4 linked regions of the Schizosaccharomyces pombe genome follow. The protein of the gene in region 2 purifies or fractionates together with the protein of the main gene of each other region. This does not show direct contact. Each region holds a gene or a part of one and is shown on either strand. Other genes may lie near its edges. The genes, in order: nop2, cid14, grn1 and SPOM_SPCC126.11C.

The links.
Region 1: the proteins of cid14 (region 2) and nop2 purify together in Schizosaccharomyces pombe (affinity purification with western blotting; 2 studies listed by BioGRID, with this or other methods). This does not show direct contact.
Region 3: the proteins of cid14 (region 2) and grn1 purify together in Schizosaccharomyces pombe (affinity purification with mass spectrometry, with the first as the bait; one study listed by BioGRID). This does not show direct contact.
Region 4: the proteins of cid14 (region 2) and SPOM_SPCC126.11C purify together in Schizosaccharomyces pombe (affinity purification with mass spectrometry, with the first as the bait; one study listed by BioGRID). This does not show direct contact.

The regions. Positions count from the first base shown.
Region 1 is NC_003423.3:3,670,629-3,678,179, reverse strand, and holds nop2 (RNA methyltransferase Nop2), read left to right. Parts: upstream 1-1,555; 5' UTR 1,556-1,602; coding exon 1,603-3,429; 3' UTR 3,430-3,661; coding exon of another isoform or gene 3,662-6,721; 3' UTR 6,722-7,020; downstream 7,021-7,551. Other genes in the region: ubiquitin hydrolase Ubp3, read right to left, coding at 1-348, 387-467; histone H2A-H2B chaperone, FACT complex subunit Spt16, read right to left, coding at 3,662-6,721. UniProt on the Schizosaccharomyces pombe protein: S-adenosyl-L-methionine-dependent methyltransferase that specifically methylates the C(5) position of a cytosine in 25S rRNA. Required for 60S ribosomal subunit synthesis and processing.
Region 2 is NC_003424.3:319,781-324,659, forward strand, and holds cid14 (TRAMP complex poly(A) polymerase subunit Cid14), read left to right. Parts: upstream 1-2,024; 5' UTR 2,025-2,143; coding exon 2,144-4,198; 3' UTR 4,199-4,349; downstream 4,350-4,879. Other genes in the region: mRNA cleavage and polyadenylation specificity factor complex, WD repeat protein Pfs2, read left to right, coding at 194-1,723; gms2 (NST UDP-galactose transporter), read right to left, coding at 4,414-4,627, 4,682-4,879. UniProt on the Schizosaccharomyces pombe protein: Required for 3' polyadenylation of the 5.8S and 25S rRNAs as a prelude to their degradation in the exosome. Involved in the nucleolar organization to ensure faithful chromosome segregation during mitosis.
Region 3 is NC_003423.3:3,966,076-3,969,917, forward strand, and holds grn1 (GTPase Grn1), read right to left. Parts: upstream 2,123-3,842; 5' UTR 2,081-2,122; coding exon 2,068-2,080; intron 2,025-2,067; coding exon 625-2,024; 3' UTR 508-624; downstream 1-507. Other genes in the region: SWI/SNF complex subunit Snf59, read right to left, coding at 2,481-3,842. UniProt on the Schizosaccharomyces pombe protein: Required for optimal growth. Required for normal processing of ribosomal pre-rRNA. Required for nuclear export of ribosomal protein rpl2501.
Region 4 is NC_003421.2:2,135,092-2,138,486, forward strand, and holds SPOM_SPCC126.11C (rrm type RNA-binding protein), read right to left. Parts: upstream 1,810-3,395; 5' UTR 1,764-1,809; coding exon 1,730-1,763; intron 1,678-1,729; coding exon 1,613-1,677; intron 1,563-1,612; coding exon 1,110-1,562; 3' UTR 513-1,109; downstream 1-512. Other genes in the region: isoamyl acetate hydrolytic enzyme Iah1, read left to right, coding at 1-351; SPOM_SPCC126.12 (NGG1 interacting factor 3 family protein), read left to right, coding at 3,030-3,243, 3,297-3,395.

The sequences.
Region 1 (7,551 bases), on a different chromosome or scaffold from region 2:
AAAACATATATTTCCGGTATTTATAAAACCCCGAGGCTGTATAGGACGGGGTGCATCGAGGGATGGAGAATATGTTTCGATCAATTCACCAAGGGATGAATTGAAACTTTTTTTCTCAGACCTGTCAGACGGTACCGGAACAGAATGTGATTTTTTAACAGGAGAGTCTCCTTGAACATGCTTTTTCGCAATTGCAGACCACGATTTAGGCGATTTTTCAGACTCTTTCGTCTTTGATGTGACCAGAGGCATTTGCACCGAAACCGACCAATCTAAATTCTTAGGCGAACGCCTTTTTCTAGCCTTTCGATGAGGAAATTCATGTTCAGAGCATGAGTACCATGGTAGCTAAACGTTAGTATAATCACAATTTTAATAAAACATACCAGTGAATTGATAATAAATTGATTTCGTGACGAATCACTTTCCAAAGACGCGCTGTCCGTTGCAGAGGTCAAATCTCGCATGGAAATACGCACACTCTAGCAAGATTGAACTCTTGTTTACTAATTTGATGGTTGGCTGTCGTTCGCTTTGCTCTTCAAAAGACTGTCCAAAACTTTTTTTAATATACACTATACCTCGTTAATTCTTCGTATTCCACCAAGTGTATTATGGTGATATTCCACTGTAAACACTTGACCGCCTAACTCAAATTCCTAATTATTTTTAGTTGTTCTTTTTTATTATTAATTATTGAATGTCCATGCCCATCTTTAGTTATTTTTAGAGAATACGGTATATTTACATATCTAAGTACCACTATATGTATCTTAAACCACAAAAGTGATACGAAAAGAGAAAAGTAAATAGTAAATTTTAAAATTCGATATTCTGCTGTTGTGTGAACTATATATAGGTCTTGAATATATATTGTCACTCATTTTACGCCGCAGCAAATTCAATCGTTAACCAAGTCTTAATGTGATCATAATTGAAATGATTAATTGTCAAGGAGGTGAAGTAAGATGAACGAGTAAATTAAGTGACTTTTTTAAGTAAGCTGAGCAGTAAAGTACGTAGCAAATTTTAAAAAAGATAAATATAACAATAGTCGTGAATTTTTAATAATGTTAACTATGCTGTTGCTATGCGGTATATCTTTTTGTGTTTCAGCAATGCAGTTTGAATATCTGTTTAACGATACATAGAACTGCGGCAATTTTCTCTTGCGATCTACAATATAGCGGGATGCAGTATATTTTTAACTGACAATGTTTATAGGAAGCTATTAGTATCGATCATCGATACAGCTAGGAACTGTACCTCGTTCCTCAGTTCAACTGTAGCTCTATTAATAATATTTCTATAAGTTGCTATCAACGTTGCATCTATGTAGATAGACGGATAGTTTATCCTCGTGTATCAATAAACGGATCTTAAGTATTTAAACATATGGCATATAGTGATACGCAACATAGTATGTCATAGCGTAGTGTAGTATTGCTTGAAAAAATTTAATGTTCTTTATCTTTCGTAAAAGTTTTTAACAAAACTCAGCGATGTGAATAGTGGAGGTTGGACTGAAAGAATGCCAGTGCCAAAATTTTTCCTCAGCCCAAATAAACGTTTTTGGACTTCATCACATATTTTCCATAAAAGATGGGAAGAAAACAGAAGTCTAAGCAAGGAATTCCCCCAACTTTAGAGGAAAATCATAATTCTTCTCATAAAGTGACAGAAAATGCAAAAAAGAGAAAGCATTCAAAAGAAAAACCACAAAATTCTCGGAAACGCCAATTAGCAGAAGAAAAGAAATCTTTGTTTGAAAATTCGGATTCTGAGAATGAAAAAGATCTTATTGATGCAGACGAATTTGAAGAGGCTGAAACTTTATCAGACTTGGAACATGACGAGGAACCCCAAACATTTGCTGACGAGTTTATCGATGATGAGGCTAAAGAATGTGAAGGGGAGGAAGAAGATTCTGTTTTTGATTCGGATGAAGAGCATGAGGTTAAGCCTATGTTTAGCGATGATTCTGGAGATGAAGAGGATTTGGAACTTGCGAATATGGAAGCCATGTCTCGCAAACTTGATGAGGAAGCGGAATTAGAGGAAAAAGAAGCCGAGGAAGAATTGCATACCAACATACATCCTGAGGCTCCTACTGTTCTTCCACCTATTGATGGTTTTACCGATAGCCAACCAATATCTACTCTTCCACAGGATTTGAGCCAAATTCAATTGCGGATACAGGAAATAGTCCGTGTTTTGAATGATTTTAAAAATTTGTGTGAACCTGGACGCAATCGTTCTGAATATGTTGATCAACTCTTAAATGATATATGTGCGTATTACGGTTATTCTCGCTTTCTTGCTGAGAAGTTATTTGAATTATTTTCAGTTTCTGAGGCTGTTGAGTTTTTTGAGGCAAATGAAATGCCTCGTCCTGTCACAATTCGTACCAATACTTTAAAAACCCAGCGACGAGAATTAGCCCAAGCATTAATTAATCGTGGTGTCAATTTGGAACCAATTGGTAAATGGTCCAAAGTAGGTCTCCAAGTATTCGAATCCCAGGTTCCAATCGGTGCGACACCCGAATATTTAGCTGGTCATTACATCCTGCAAGCTGCATCTTCCTTCTTGCCTGTAATGGCCCTTGCGCCTCAACCAAATGAACGTATCCTTGACATGTCCTCAGCACCTGGTGGTAAAGTCACTTATGTTGCTGCATTACAAAAGAATACTGGAATTATCTTTGCAAATGATTCTAACAAAGCTCGAACAAAGGCTCTTTCCGCTAACATTCATCGTTTAGGTGTACGTAATGCTATTGTATGTAATTACGATGGCCGCAAGTTTCCCAACGAAGTAATTGGCGGTTTTGACCGTGTTCTCCTTGACGCCCCATGTTCGGGTACTGGTGTTATATATAAAGATCAGTCTGTTAAAACTAACAAATCTGAAAGGGATTTTGATACTCTTAGCCATTTACAAAGGCAATTGCTTCTAAGCGCTATTGATTCTGTCAATGCTGACAGCAAAACCGGTGGTTTTATCGTGTATTCTACTTGCAGTATTACTGTTGACGAAGATGAAGCAGTTATTCAATATGCTTTAAAGAAGCGCCCTAATGTTAAGCTAGTGTCCACTGGACTTGAATTTGGACGTGAAGGGTTTACCCGTTTTCGTGAAAAAAGATTTCATCCAAGTCTAAAGTTAACTAGACGTTATTATCCTCATGTTCACAATATAGACGGTTTTTTCGTTGCCAAACTGAAAAAGATTTCTGATAAAATCCCTACTGTAAATGTGGCTGATGATATGAAGGATGGAACAAATAATGATGTTGAAATTGAAAAGAATTCTACTGAAATTGATAATATTACTTTCAATGATGAAGCCGATAAGGAGATTATCGAGCAGAATCGTCGCAAATGGTTGAAGTCTAAAGGTTATAAGGTTGCAAAAAAAAAGGATTAGAATAATTTTGGTTAGGTTGGGATTACACAATAAAAGGTAACTGAACATTGATTCGCGTGTTACTACAACAATTATATTAATAGGTTGTCGTAAAGAGCCGGTCTTTATATTTTTGTATCAATCCATCTGGTTGTCAAATCTCAATTCAGTGGAATATTTTATTATAAAGTATTCTGGAATTTTTAGAATAAACTACATATAAATAATAAGAAAGTGAAGTAAATTTGTGAGTTTACCGGTGTCTCTTTTTAGATGGTCTTTCTTCAAAAGCATCGTGCTTAGCATCTTCTTGACGTGCTTTACGCTCCAATTCATCCCAATCTTCACCACTTTCTTCATCCTCCACTTCGCTTTCACTGTAACCATCCTCTTCACTAGCATCTTCGCTGTACTCCTCAGATTCTTCTTCCTCTTCATCAGAAGGGTCGGCATCAGAAGCTTCATACTCAGAAACCTCTTCGACACTATCATCTCCTTCATCATCACTCGGAGCTCCCAAAAATCCCCATCCTCCTTCTTCAAAGAATGCAATGGGGTCCTCGTTGACAGTTTTCATAATCGTGGTCCAGTTCAAATTAAGAGGACCTTCATAGAAGCATATATCGCATGAATCGAGCCATTCCTTTACATTATCTAATTGCTCCATTGGAATTGTATTGATATGAATCGGAGGGCGGCGGAAGTCTTGAAAGATGAAAACCAAATCAAAATTTTTTAAACCAAATTGTACACGCTCCAAGTGTGCAATTTCAATTTCGTTTAGTGTAATTACAGTAAATGGTGTGTCTGTCAATTGAACTAGGCAATCAGTAGTCGGCTGCAATAAAACATTGGAACGGAAGGGAACACCATTGAATGCAAGTTCGCGAAATGGAATGTCTAATTCAATTCGTCCCTCACTTGCTTCAGCGATTTTTTCAGCAAATGATTTAAATTCGCGATCTAATTGAGCACGACGCCGTCTTTCTTCTTGTTCTTGCTCCAATTCATCTTCATCACCATACATGTATTTCCGCTTCTTGTTTCCAGTTTCGTCAAACTGAATATCAGAAACTTCGCGATAAAATTGCACGTCCTGGGTCTTCCTTTTTCCCACCATGATCGGAGCTTTCAGATGAACATGAATAAGAACGATAAGCTCGCCTTCACATGGCTGGAAAAAGAGATGCTTCATATTAGAAAACAAAAGATCAATGTGGCTATCTGAACGTAATGGCGATTGATACCGAATACCATTTTGGTGTATCTCAATGAATCCAGGCAACCGTTTCCCGTCAATAGCAGGGCGAACGTAAACATCATTTATATGAGCAGGTCTCTTGTTCTTTATTTCAATTAATTTATCTTGCTCAATAACATCAGCAAACTCCTTACGTTCAGTTTCACGCTTGGTAGCTGCTTTCTTCATATCTTGGATGTCCTTGAATACTTGCGACATTCTAGAATTATTTGAACTTCTGAAAGTAAAGCTTCGTATGAATTGGGCATTAGGGTCCTCAAACGGTAACTCATCCTTTTTACCGCCAATCTGGCCAGGACTTACGAAATTTAGTCGTAAATACACAAAATTTCCCTCATCGTTTTTACTAGCATTTTTTAAAGTAGATATATGGAACGGGACAGGCCGACCGAAAATGGGTAAAATAATACTTTGAGCTCGATAATCTACTAGAATACGTAACTCACCAATTGCTTGTGGAAGTTGCGAGTCACGCTTGTACGACTCAAATCGTTTGACAGTGGGTTTTTCGATGCCGCTAGACGGAACAGAACCTTGAGCAAATCGTTGCAATCCCTCAGCCTGTTTTCGCGATGCTAGTTGCTTTTGATGCTCAACACGCCTCTTTTCAGCAGAATCATCCAAGTCTCTGGTTTCACTTCGAGTCTTTCCTTTATGACTTGATATAGTTGCCGTTCCCCGAGTAGGTGGTTTGCGTGGCTTTACGCCGTCTTCAAGAGAAGAATCATCTTCACCAAAGAAGTAGGATATATCACCTTGAGCTTTTGGAGAATCAGTAAATACGATTGGATCACTTCTTGTTATTTGAATTGTGTCAATCAATAAAAGAGCATACTCTTTAGACTGAGAATTTTTAGGATGAGGATTAATCAAATTCCCAAATCCAATGCTAAGATTTAGAGTCATCCCGGCTTGAAGAACGCGTGGGTTTTTGGCATTTACTAAAAGTGAAGATTCGCGAAATTCAATGCCAATGCCGGCACCTAGATTTCTTACAAAATTAGGTTCGAGATCAGGACGTTTAGCACGTATAAGACCCAAAATTTTCGTATATATGTCCCCAATAACAGCGCCATCTCTGCAGTATTCGAACAACTTTTTCTGAAGCGCTACTAAAAAAGAGTAATTTTTCTGTTGTTCGGAATCAGGATCAAATAAATAAGTGCGACCAACATTAGAACAATACGATTTGTAGCGAAACCCTAAAGAGCATAGGACGACGTCCCCATGAAGATTTCTATCATCTGTTATAGCAGAAGGCTTCAAATCATAACTACCCCCCGATTGAATAATGGGAGTATAACACCACTCTAGTTGATCCAAGTCTATGTCTCCTAGTTTCAAAGATTTTGTTTGAAAAAAAGCCTCGTTATCAATAAGGCTTTCCATCTGATCCGAAAACTTAGAGTGAGTTATTTTTTTTCCTTGGTCAATATAAGTCGAAAGTTCATCAACAAAATATTTACTCATAACCGCAACACTAACCCGCGATGCTCCTTTTATATTAGCAAGTTCTTGTTCGTCCTTTATAGCAAGACACTTTGCTAAGCCAAGCGATGCATCCACAAGATTAAATTCTGATTTCACTGGTTCAAAAATTGAGTCCCATTCATTAATGAATTTTCCTTGTGTTTTATCCTTAGGAAATACTCCGACCTTTTTATTGGTGGCTCTAATATACTCTATTATTTTTTCAAAAAGCTTTTTATTTTCCTCAGCATCTTTCGTTCTCTTCAAGATGTTAACGTCAGCTGCAGCCCCCTTGGTTTCAGCCAATTTCGTTAACATATTGGCCTTGTTAACTGATGTAAGGATTGTGATTCGATGCTTTTCAAGAAGTATTAAAGTCGATGGAAATTCATAACCCAAGAGCCATGTATGTAGTGCAGTGGACTTTTGATATGGATTCGTATCATCATGAGCCCCTACTGTTACTAAAATACTGTCGCAGTCTTGAAACAGCGTCTTTCCGTCTTCCTCATTCTTCCAGGAGGTAAGAAGTATGCCCAAGCGTTTATGAAATGTAATTTCGTCTATTTCATATTCAGCCATTTTACCTTTAATTAACGATTTAAGATATATTCACTCTTTAGCGAATAGTTATTTTATCTGAAAGGGCAAAAAGGCTTTTTCTTACAAAATTTCTTAAAATTTTGTAAAAAAGAAACAGGAATTGTTTTATTTTTTTTTTATTGATTGATAGCTTTTTTTGATATCTTGTGGATGGAGGTGGGTAAGTGGTAGTACTTTTGAATGTAGATATATAGGGCTGGGATTTCTGCGACGCGACTCGACTTACGCTGCATGTGTTCTAGCTTGATTATTTGAGCTTGTTAATGTTTATAATAGACCACAAGCATCATAAAAAAATAAAATTTATTTATTTATTTTTTGGTTCTTCAAGAGCAGGATGAATATCACGCTTTGCTGTATATAATCGTAAACGGTTGGACAAGCTTTATAATTTTTGGAGCACGAATACTATACATACATGTCTGAATACGTCTACGTACATATATGAGCTGTAGTAATTTAAAAAATCATTTACCTACGTCAAGCAATCCAAAGACAATAGATATTACTTAATGCTTTAGTTATTGAAAAGTGGCACAAATTCTGGAGCACTCAGCTTTAAACGGATTAAATTGATTTGCTTGGTAAAATGAACTGAGTAGAACAAATTATAAAACTACAACGCAAAACTAGTAAGCCATTTATAAAGATCATTTTTACCCGGTATACCTTTGCTTTAGATGAAACTAATTTTGAAATGCACCATTAAAAATAAGGTATATTAAGTGGTTTGTAACCCTTTTACGCGACTAACCAGTTAAATACCAATTTTATCTTAAAAGTATATACGGTATTATCCCCATGAAATT
Region 2 (4,879 bases):
CCAAAGTCATACTAGCTCATTTTCCCAGCACGTAAAACGCGCCAAATATCTATATATTAGAATACCATACGAAAAACGGTAAAGTTTATACTACATTAGAAGGAACTTTAAGTTGGTTTTATTTAAATTAAAGATTGATTTTATTGCTGCTAAATAAGGAATTTCACATCTTTGGGGAATTGGTTAATTCATCATGGAAAGAGCTGAAAATGCTAGAATTATTCAAAAGCCTATGACTCGTAGGACTGTGGACTATGGATCAGGGCTATCAAAGTATATTGTCAATCGACATTTGCGTAGCAATCGCTATCACATACATGTACCGAGACCAAATCCGAATCAAATAATTAACTTGTATCCCCCTTATGAATACAAGTATAATAACACATCTTCCTTGTGCACCAAATATATTCATACGTCTGCAAATAAAGCTAGACATGTTATTAACGTTGTGCGCTGGACTCCAGATGGTCGAAGACTGTTGACAGGTTCTTCAACTGGTGAATTTACTCTGTGGAATGGTCTCACATTTAATTTTGAGTTAATTAATCAGAGTCATGATTATGCCGTTCGTTGTGCTGAATGGAGTACAGATGGGCGCTGGCTTATTTCCGGCGATGGAGGAGGCATGGTAAAGTATTTTGAACCGAATTTAAACAATGTCAAAATTGTTCAAGCTCATGAAATGGAAGTTAGAGATGTTGCCTTTTCACCCAATGATAGCAAATTTGTCACAGCGAGTGATGATGGTTCATTAAAAGTATGGAATTTCCATATGAGTACTGAAGAGCTGAAACTAACTGGTCATGGATGGGATGTAAAAACCGTCGATTGGCATCCTTCAAAAGGTCTCTTGGCTTCTGGTTCTAAAGACAATTTAGTGAAATTTTGGGATCCAAGAACCGGTACATGTATTGCGACTTTGCATGGTCATAAAAACACAATAATGCAAGCATCTTTTCAGAAAAATTTTGGATCAAATTATTTGGCTACAGTCTCTAGGGATAGCACTTGTCGAGTATTTGACTTACGTGCCATGAAGGACGTTCGAGTTTTACGTGGTCATGAAAAGGACGTAAACTGCGTAACATGGCATCCTCTTTATCCTAATTTGCTTACTACTGGTGGCTCCGATGGAAGTGTCAATCATTATTCACTTGATGAACCTCCATTACTTTCTCAGCAAAAGTATCATGAAAAGCATCCAAATGTTACTCTTTCCGCGTCTTCTTATTTACTATACCCTACTGCTGAAATTCCATTTGCTCATGATTTGGGTATTTGGAGTATGCAATATCATCCTCTTGGACATCTTTTATGTACAGGTTCAAATGATAAAACTACACGTTTTTGGTCAAGATCTCGCCCAGATGACAAGGAATCCACCATGGATCGCCATCATTTAGGTGAAGAACAGTCTGAGGCCATGCTAAGTCAGAGAAAAGCAGCGATCGAAGAAGACGATAATTATGAACCTGACGAAAACCCTCTCACCGAAACATTAGCAAATGCCCATAATCCCCAATTTTCTGGAGTACTTAATCTTCCGGGTTTAGGGACTATGCCCTCCTTTCCATCGCCTTATCAACATGGACAACCTCAAATTCCCGGTATGCTTCATGCATCTTTGAGCAATTCATACGCTGAGCCGTCAACTCAAAACTCTTTTATCCCAGGTCTCACCTCAAAGTCACAAGATGGGTATCCTCAAAACTATCGATAATACATTTCTTTGTTATTTGAAAAACATATTTACTTGGCATTAATTAGATTTAAAAAAAAAAAAATTCACACCGCAGCTCACTGGATTCATACTAAAAATTGGGTTTGGCAAAGCAAAACCTACACTAATTTTTTTTTTAATGATAACTAAGCAACAATTTACATTATACCATTCATACTCGACAAGCACTTCTATATCTCGCTCTCCATACAAGATGTTCCCCAAATTGAATTACCGAGTGTCAACGATTTTCGTAAATAAATCGTTAATAGTTAGGTATGCTACATTTAGTAAGTTGTTCACCACCAAATTTTCAAAGATCTTATGTGATTAATAATTGTGGTTCAATTAGTCATATATTGATTTTTATAAGAATTCTACAAGATAGGTATAGAAAACCATTCTATCCATGTCTTAGAGATGGGTAAAAAAAGCGTGTCATTTAACCGCAATAATTATAAAAAGCGTAAAAATGAGAGAACTGAACCACTTCCAAGGAGGATTTTTAAAAACGATAAACCGAGTAAATTTAAATCTAAAAGAAAGGAAAAGGATAAAAATTCAGACGCTTATGACGAAATGCTTCTGAATAACAATTTTACGCTTCTGGATCAAGAAGAACCCATGGTTGAAATTGGAAGTAAAAAATCACGTAATGATAATGATTCAGAAGGAATACGTGATAAAGGTGGAGTAGAAATTTCAAACAAAAACGATCCATATATTCAATTTGGAAAAGCCGATCCATTAGAGCCGCTGGAAAAACCTGATTTACCAGAGGAAGCAATAAAACGTGGTGAACCTACCATTCTTTTAGGTATACCAAAAAGAGAAGGTAGAAAAACTAACCCTGTACACGACAAGGCTGTCGAAAATAATTCTGATTTTATCAAGTTCGATTGGAACAGCGATGAAGACGAGGATAGTGTTAGTAATGATAAAAGCAAGAATAATGAGTCCTTAAAAAAGTCTTCTAAAAATGAGATCCCTGGCTTTATGCGTCAACGAGGCCGATTTTTTCATGAAGCAAATGAAAAATCGGATTCTAACCGTAAACGAAAACGCCAAGCGTATGAGCTTGATTCTCAATCATGCCCTTGGCACCGTCAGTATAAGGTAGAGCGAGAAGTCTCTAGAATTTTTCACCAAGACATTCTTCACTTTATTGACTATATTACTCCGACTCCTGAAGAGCATGCGGTTCGGAAGACGCTTGTTTCTCGTATAAATCAAGCTGTCTTGCAAAAATGGCCAGATGTATCACTTTATGTTTTTGGAAGTTTTGAAACCAAATTATATTTACCTACTTCAGACCTTGATCTTGTAATAATATCACCTGAGCATCATTATCGGGGTACAAAAAAAGATATGTTTGTTCTTGCTCATCATCTAAAGAAGCTAAAACTTGCTTCTGAAGTCCAGGTCATTACTACTGCTAACGTTCCAATCATCAAGTTCGTTGATCCGTTAACCAAAGTTCATGTTGACATATCTTTTAATCAACCTGGAGGTTTGAAGACATGTCTGGTAGTGAACGGTTTCATGAAAAAATACCCTGCTCTTAGGCCGTTAGTAATAATTATTAAACATTTTTTGAACATGCGAGCGCTAAACGAAGTCTTCTTGGGCGGATTAAGTAGCTATGCGATTGTTTGTTTGGTTGTTTCTTTTCTTCAATTACACCCTAGACTTAGTACAGGTTCTATGCGTGAAGAAGACAATTTTGGTGTTTTGCTGCTAGAGTTTTTGGAGTTGTACGGAAAACAATTTTATTATGATGCTGTCGGTATCGCTGTTCACAATGGTGGTTTTTATTTTTCAAAAAAGAAGATGGGTTGGCTGAAGCCAAACCAGCCTTATTTGCTTTCAATCCAAGATCCGGTAGATTTCCAAAATGATGTTTCTAAATCTAGTCGTGGATTATTACGCGTAAAGGCTACATTTGCAAATGGCTTTGATTTGCTAACTAGTAAATTATACGCACTCGCATCTCGTATAGAAAGAGAGGGTGTCAATCGAGTCAAAGATTTCCCTAGTATCCTAAGTACCATATTATCAGTTGATGAAGGGGTTCGTCAACATCGTGAGCATATGTTAAAATGTTATAAGAATAATCCAGTTCCTTTAGAACCTTTAGTGGAAGTGGATGCTTTAGCAAGTATTGATGTCGACAAGCTTCCATTGCAAGACGTTGGTTTGCAATATGTTGAGGATGAATCCGATTCAGACGAAACAGATGCTGCAAAGGATGATTTGTTTAAAGTAAATGAATCAATTGAAACCAACGGCCATGAAAATTTTCAGAAGCAAGCTTTGACATCTACGGGAGAGCAGTCCTCCTCTAATTCTCGAGCTAATCCCAGTAAATTATTTAACATAAGCAGTGACGATTCGGAAGACGAAGTACCTATTATTGAGGACACCACTGCTTCAGATGAAGAATCTCGAGCGAAAAAAATACGCAAACGTTTTTAGTTAATTTACATGTAAAATACCAGGTTATATAGAGGGATAAAAGGTTTTATTATCAATTATGATTATAGTTTGATAATTGTATTAATAAATTATCTTTATAGATTATACTTACGATTTAGCCAGTAAACTCGAATACCAGTAATAAATTAATCAACACCTTAAACTCACTATGGATCTGTAGTAATTTTGCATAAACGATGAAACTAGTTAAGAAATTACGATTCGGCGAGAGGAAATTTGATGATAGAATGGTAAGTAAATATGCCATAAATAAGAAGCACGAATCCCAAGAATTGAAGTAAATGGAATGACTCCATCCCCATTGCCATAGCAATAATCCAAATTCCGAATGTTCGAGCAATATCTAAAAGAGATCGGGTAGTAGCTGAGTGAAGTTTTGTAATGGCTAAGCCGGAAACGTTGAAAAAACTAAGGTTGGAACGTTAGTAAATACGAATGGTCAATTTTTTAACATGAACTTACGCAATAGATACCAAAATAACTCCAGAAATAACATAGAGTGCAGGGACTTCATTAAATCGAGATATAACGTGTGAATAGTCAAACCACCCGTGGTATCCAGCAGTAGTAGAACCGATAAAATAGTAAGAAATAATCATTCCTAAAAGGACAAAAAATACGCCATAAGTACCTTCATAAGCAACTAATTCTGAAGGGTCG
Region 3 (3,842 bases), on a different chromosome or scaffold from region 2:
TAGGCTTTTAAAAAAAATTTTTGTGTATTTATTAGCCGATTGTTAATTGAAAAGAATCAAGTCTTAAATCATTGCTTATTAAATAGTTTACTTCTTTTATATACAAGCTTTTTTTCTTTTCTTTGGTAATGTATGTAACTTTATTTATTCTTTAGTTTATATACATAATTATTAACTGCTAAACAGATTAATTTGATATTATGCCATATTCAGTAGTAGCGCAAAATAGTATGGTTAGAATTGTTTGTGTTTATCCTATCAATTGATATAAAAATGAAATGAAACTTATAACTGCACGTTAGTATCAATGTCATTTTCCGTACATATTCAATTGACTTTATTTAAGCCAGCATGCATTGATTTAATAATTTCCCGTATTAGCGAACCTATTACTTAAAACTTCTCCCATATCAAACATTACTTTTACAAGTAAATGTAAAACAACACATTCAAGAATACGGCATATATGCAAAAAAAATTATTTATATATTAATTCAAAAAGTAATAGCTAGTAACCATCAACACCTAAAGATTTTTAAAACCCGAAGAAAAACCGCAACCGAAAACCAAATCCCAAAATATAAGCTCTAAGCAACAATAGCTTTTTTCGTAAGTTGAAAACTCTCAAAAATCATTAAGGTCAAATTCTTTGGCCCACTCAGTAACGATTTGAGTATCCTGAACTTCAGATGAGTTCTTTTCGTTTATAACCTCAGGCTCGGCCCACCATTCGATACGACCAGCATGCCAGTCATTAATGACAATATTGGCAGCAGCGTTAAGATTTGGAATTCCACCGCGACCTAGACGACCACGCTTACGAGCAATATTGACTAAAAAATCAGTAGCAGTGTCTATATCGGATGTATTCAATAGAGGAGGAAGCTCATATCTTTGAAACATTCTTTCCAATTGTCCTGGAACTCTGCTAAGGAATTGCAAAATGTAAGAAGCAACGGCAACGGGATCATCAACTTTGGTGGATGAAACAGCATTAAGCATTACAAGACGATACAAATCGTCTTTAGAATCACTAGAAGGAAAAACAATACCAGGACTATCGACCAAACGTAATTTGTTATCTAGCTTCACCTCTCGCAAAGAAGTAGTCATTCCGGCAACGTTTCCGGCAGGACAAGGTGCAGAACGACCATTCGCAGAACGGTTGACAAGAGCGTTAATAACAGATGATTTACCAACGTTGGGGTATCCAATTACACCGACTGTAAGAGAGCTTTTAAGCTTCTTCTTGGCTGAGTAAGACTTGAGTGATTTAAGAAGATTGGAGATAGTGGAACTAGCAGAAGCCGACTGGTGCTTTAAATTTGAGTTTCCAGATCCTGAAGCGGAACGCATAGGAATCGTAGGAAAGAAATTGCGGAGATAGGTAACCCACTTGTTGAGTACTTCTGATGGTACTAAGTCAATTTTGTTGATAACGAAAATAAGACGCTTTTCTTCAGCAGAAGATGCTAAAACTTGACGTTCAACGTCTTTTGAACGAGTCCCTTCAGGATCACGAGCGTCAAGAACGTAAAGAATCACATCTGACGCTTCAACAACTTTTTTGAACTCCTTATCATATGCCTTTCTAGAGGTATCTGCCTTCACTGATGCCTCATAAGACTCGGAGTCAACTAATAAAGGGGCCTCTCCAAGGTTGTCTTCTTCCATCACAAACTCTTCCTCATCATCTGGGTTAGACGCTTGTGCAGCCTCAGCTATCTTTGAAATCATTAGGGATCCATTTTCATCAACAGCGTCTTCCTCTTCCATTGCAGCATCAACTTGTCCTGAAGCACGACGAGCCAATTTTTCTTCTTCTCTAATGCGCTTCTGTTCTTCGATCTCAGCAAGAATTTTATCCTTGTAGGGGAATGAGTTAGGAATACCTGGATCTTTAGGAATTCTGCTTTTCCATTGCGGATTTTTTTTATCAGCTCTTTTTTGCTTGCGTTTGCTCTCTGCAGCTTTCTTTTCAATTCTGCTACGAAGACGAGTAGTTCTTCTTTTACTCTTTTTTTCTTAAGAAATAAGTTAGAAATAGTTACGCGTGCATATACTTACTTAAGGAAACCATTGTAAAAAATGCTGTAGTTACAAATTTTACAGTTGGTTGTCTAGAGAAAAAACATTACCGATTATTCTTTTTTAACCCCAAATGCTATAGTACGGAACAGTACATTAACTTAATTTACGATATGTAACAATTTTGGATTGTACCTCGTTATTTTTAAAGTTGAAGCTAATTAGTAATTTATATTCACATTTAGAAAGATTTCCTTAGTTTAGCAATGCTTCAGTATTTTAAAAGCTAGTGATCTTTGAAATGTTGTTCAGTATTTGTGAAAAGAGTTATAGAAAAGTAAAAAATATTATGTATTTAGATTAAATTAAAGAAACCAATAGCAACTAGCCTAAATCCACTTGATCGAAAATATGATAGCTCAGCAATGCAATTAATAATTTTTAATATAAAGTCATGAAACAGATCTGTTGACACCTCGTAATTTTGTATAATAACTTAACCTTGCTTCTTTCCTTAGATTTCTTGTCCTCATGACTTTAGAATTGTAAAAAGAAGCACCCTGAGCAAGCGTCAAAATATCCTTACCTTGAAATGGTGAGGGTGAATTTTGATTATCCATACTTTTTAGCTCAAGCTTTACAGAGGAAGAACGAGTGCTTCCATTAGCCATGACATCCATATGATAATACTCATCGTCAGCCCAGCTAATGTTTTTTTCAATAAGAGCTTTATGACTCTCTGGATCTATCGTTCCCTTCATCAATATTCTAGCACCGAATGCCAAAAACATTTGTCTAGCTGGAACAATGCTTAGTTGTCGAAATCTAAAATTAGATGCCAACAAACCCATTTCAACCATTTGGTCCCTCTCACTTTGTGTTGTAAGTACTTTTCGTAAAGATGGCGTCTTATGAAACATGAAGTAACTATCCTTAAAGCCGAGTAATCTTGAGCATTCTGTACCAAGCATATACAACACTTTGCCACGTCCTTCTAGGCAAAATGTTTTAGCTCGATATTCAAAACCATCCGCTAGTTTGCCATACGTGTCAATTACTTCACTTATGTATTTATCTTTGTCCTCAATCTTTTCTGTTATGGGGGTTACACTCGTGATTTGAGCAATGTCATCACTAATTTCCTTTTTACTTAATGCTTCATCAACTGGAGGTTCTTTGCATTTTGAAGGTGCGGTATCTTTTAGGCTGTTATTTGGATGAATCAACAAATTACCCTCCTGTTTTACTGCAGAATCAGATTTTGAAAGACTATTTTCTGAAAATTCATCACCCATTTTTTCGGGAATTTTGGAGTAAACAGGTTCTTCATTTTTTGAATCAACATGATGTATCGGTTCCTCCCTGATTGATTTAGTATTATGTTCAGACTCTTCATTTTTTGATTCAGTGTGATACTCAGGTTCATTATGCTCTGAATCAATGCGATGTATAGGTTCTTCAATTTTTGAATTAACGTGCAGCTCAGGTTTTTCAATTTTCGAATCATCACACTGTTTAGGTCCTTCGTTTCTAAAATCACCAGAAGGTTTGGGTTCTTCAATTTTAAAATTTTTCTGATTTTCAGATTCATCCATATTTGAATTATCAAGATTTGTAGATTCTTTATTTGAACTATCATGATGTTTAGGTTCTTCCGACATGTTTAAATCATCAAGATTTGTAGATTCTTTATTTGAATTATCATGATGTTTAGGTTCTTCCAACATATTTGAATCATCAAGATTTGTAGATTCTTTTTTTGAATTATCATGATGTTCAGGTTCTTCCAACATGTTTAAATCATCAAGATTTGT
Region 4 (3,395 bases), on a different chromosome or scaffold from region 2:
CTTACCAGACCATTTCCTCATTCTAAGATTATCATAGTATCTCCCGGTATATGTACAAAGGACATTTGTTTTAAACGTGAACAAGAGCCATATGTAATTGCTGCTTCTGAAACAGTGAACACCCTTAATAAATCTAAAGCTAATTCAGCAGGTCTTATCAATCTTTATGAAATTACGAAATCCTATCCCACGCCCGAGTTGCTATTCACGGATGGTCTTCACTTTTCGTCTTTGGGGTATAGTTTGTTATTCAACGAAATTGTTGCAACGATTTCAAAAGCTTGGCCCGAATTGCTACCGAACAATCTTCCTCTTCAATTTCCTCATTGGTCTGAAATTCTCTTTACTTAAATTTTTTCGGCTCATGAATAAATTATTGATTATTACACTCTCACATGCTTTTCGCTTATAATTATTTTTGCTAACTAGACATAAACTAAGAAGCATTCGCACGGTGATACCGAGGATCTATGCCGATTTTAAAATCATTCATGGAAATGAATACTTTACATGGATCTCATAGTACTCATATTGTATATGATTAATATGCATGACCCAGAATCAGCTTCGATGACTTGACCATAAAACTAATTTTATCATTGCAATTAATTTTATATTCCTAGAAACCCCTATTATTGTCAAAATCAAATCCAATTTTCAAAACAGTAGAAACGAGGGTATCAACAATTTACTATGTCAACAGAAGGTCTACAAAAACAAAACTTGATTTCGTAAATTGTAACAACTTAAATTTTAATTTTTCAAATAAGCTACTCACCAAGAATACATTCAAAGGAAAAATGGGAAGGAATTAACGTCCGATTTTTAACGCTTTGTGAAGATTAAAGAGTTATGTACAGAGTTTCAGAATAAGAAATACGATGAGATTCTTTATAACAAGAACTGGTTTGAGGGAAGGCAGAAATTGATTTAAAATCAAAAGGTAGAAACTTGAATGAGTTTTGGTAAGTCTCTAGGTTTCCCAATTACAGATAACGTGAAGGAGTATTTCAGAAGAGCGATATGGACAGTAGGTATCATATTAAGTCACGTACACTTCAGTGGAAGCAAAAAATAAGTATGAAAAGAATCTAACAGCTGCAAAAAGTTCATTTCTTTTGAGTTCTTCTCTTTTTACTGTTTTTTTTAATATAACAAGAGAGTTTAAAGCCATCAGCAGTTACGCCATCGAGCTTTTGGACAACTTGCTGAGCACTTGCGAGGGTACTGAATCGAACACTAGCACGCACCTTTCCTTGAGAATCGTTAACTTGGCAATTCAAAATTTCCCCAAAATTAAGCAACGTAGCAGCGACATCGTCAGAAGAAGTTCCGGGAGCAAGATTTTCAATAACTACGTTAGTGGGTCCGGCGATACCACGGATCGAAATAGCACCATTGCTTTGGGAATTAGAATTGGATGGCTTTGTTTGATTTTCTCGTACTATACCATCCCTTAGTTCTTGCGAGGGGAGAGTCAAACGGTTAAAAAGCTCATTATTCTTCAGTTGCTTAACAATACGTTTATCAAACAAACTTTTATCTGAAGTTAAAGCTGATCCCTTCACAATTTGTTAGAGTAAAAAAACATTGGAAAAAATAAAAAGCATACGGTTTTAGCATTTGTTGGTTTCCCAACACGTCCGCCAACTGTATGTTTGCCTAGCGACAGCGGTGCTATGTAAAAATATGTTAGCTTTATTTTATGGGTTTCCAGCTACGATTTTACCTTCTTGCTTCTTTTTGTTGCCTCGTTTTGCCATCCGTCCACGAGAACTTATTAGGTGCGTGTTGGTGGTAGTGCTGCTTAGTAGCAGGAATTGGAGGTGAGACGGGAGATCCTATATCGAACATAAACAAGAGTGAATATCAGGTAGAAAACCTGAGAAGTTTAACTGTTTTTCTTGAGCTTCTATTTAAAATTAGTCATGTAATCAATTCATTACTCCTATTTCAAGATTTTTCAATAGATATTGCAATCTTTTGATGATGAAATATCTTGAATATTTGCATGCATGTTGGTCATAGTACCATTTTAAACAATTAAGATTCCCAAATTATACATATTTCATCCTTCCTATAGACCTTGGAATGACCTTAGGAAAAAAAAGAGTTGTTTACAAATAATTGTCATATAGACCAATTAAAAAAAAAGCCGACACAAAAGGTCCAGTTATATTATATATTGAAATGTTTGAAGTGTACTATTAGCAATATGATAATCAATTTAATGTGTTCATTAAAATCCAAAGGAGATTAATCTGCTCCTTCTTAAATATTAGTTCTTGTTTCTTTCAACTCTTTCTTTACAGTTTTTTTCTGCACGGCAACTGTGAGCTGTAGCATTTTTAACGCTTGAGGAGATATAAAAACCGATTAATGCATTACCAATGTATATGTTTTGAATGTAACGAGTAGTCTAAGAAGTACTAGAACCGATTGAATGATAATGAGATTGCATTCGAACGTTTTTAAAAACTTGATGAACTAGAACACTAGACACTAAATTGTTTTGTACGTTTAATAAACGAGATTTTTTTTCCTAAGAATTTATTTCATGTCCCGAAGAATACGCACTACAAACATTAAATACTGGATGCTCTTTTACAAATGGGATAGAAATGCCTATGGCCTCTTCCTTTGACTGAAAAAATATTTTCTATAAACAGAGGAAATTAATAAACAAAGTAAATATTCAAATTGTGAAATTAACACTCAGCATTTCTTATATAGAGGCATTTGCAAGCGTAGATTTTTTTAGCTGTATTAGGATAGATAAAAAAATATCGGTAAAATAATAAAGTACTACCTAATCGTTTTTTAATGCTCGCTATGCAGTTCAATATTTTTTTACCGATACGCAGGACTGCATAGTTAAAATTGTGTATTGCTACGCGTTGCTAGAATTCCTTCATGCTCTACAGAATTTAGCAGATTTGAGAAAGCATATCCTAGGACTAAGTGTTGTCGTAAACGTGGTCTTACGGTCGTTCAGGAATCACTGCGTTTAATGGTATCTTTCCCCAAATATGTCTAAGGCAAATATTTCTTCCAAATTAAAAAAAGTAGTTGAGTCCATCTATAATCCAAAATTGGCGGATTCTTGGGACAACACTGGGCTTCTGCTTGAGGCTCCTTTCCCAAGAACAAATGCAAGTTCCGTACTTTTGACGATTGACTTGACTGAGAAAGTTGCTGAAGAAGCTATTTCAAATAAACTTGTATCATCTATTGTAGCATATCGTATGGCGGTTAACCTTCTACTTTTATTGTTTACACAACTTACTCACAACTAGACCCCATTATCTTTCGTGGGCTTAAAGCCATCACGATGGAGGATCCCCAACAAAGAAGCCTTTTAAAACTTGCTGCTGAAGGAATTCACGTTTACTCGC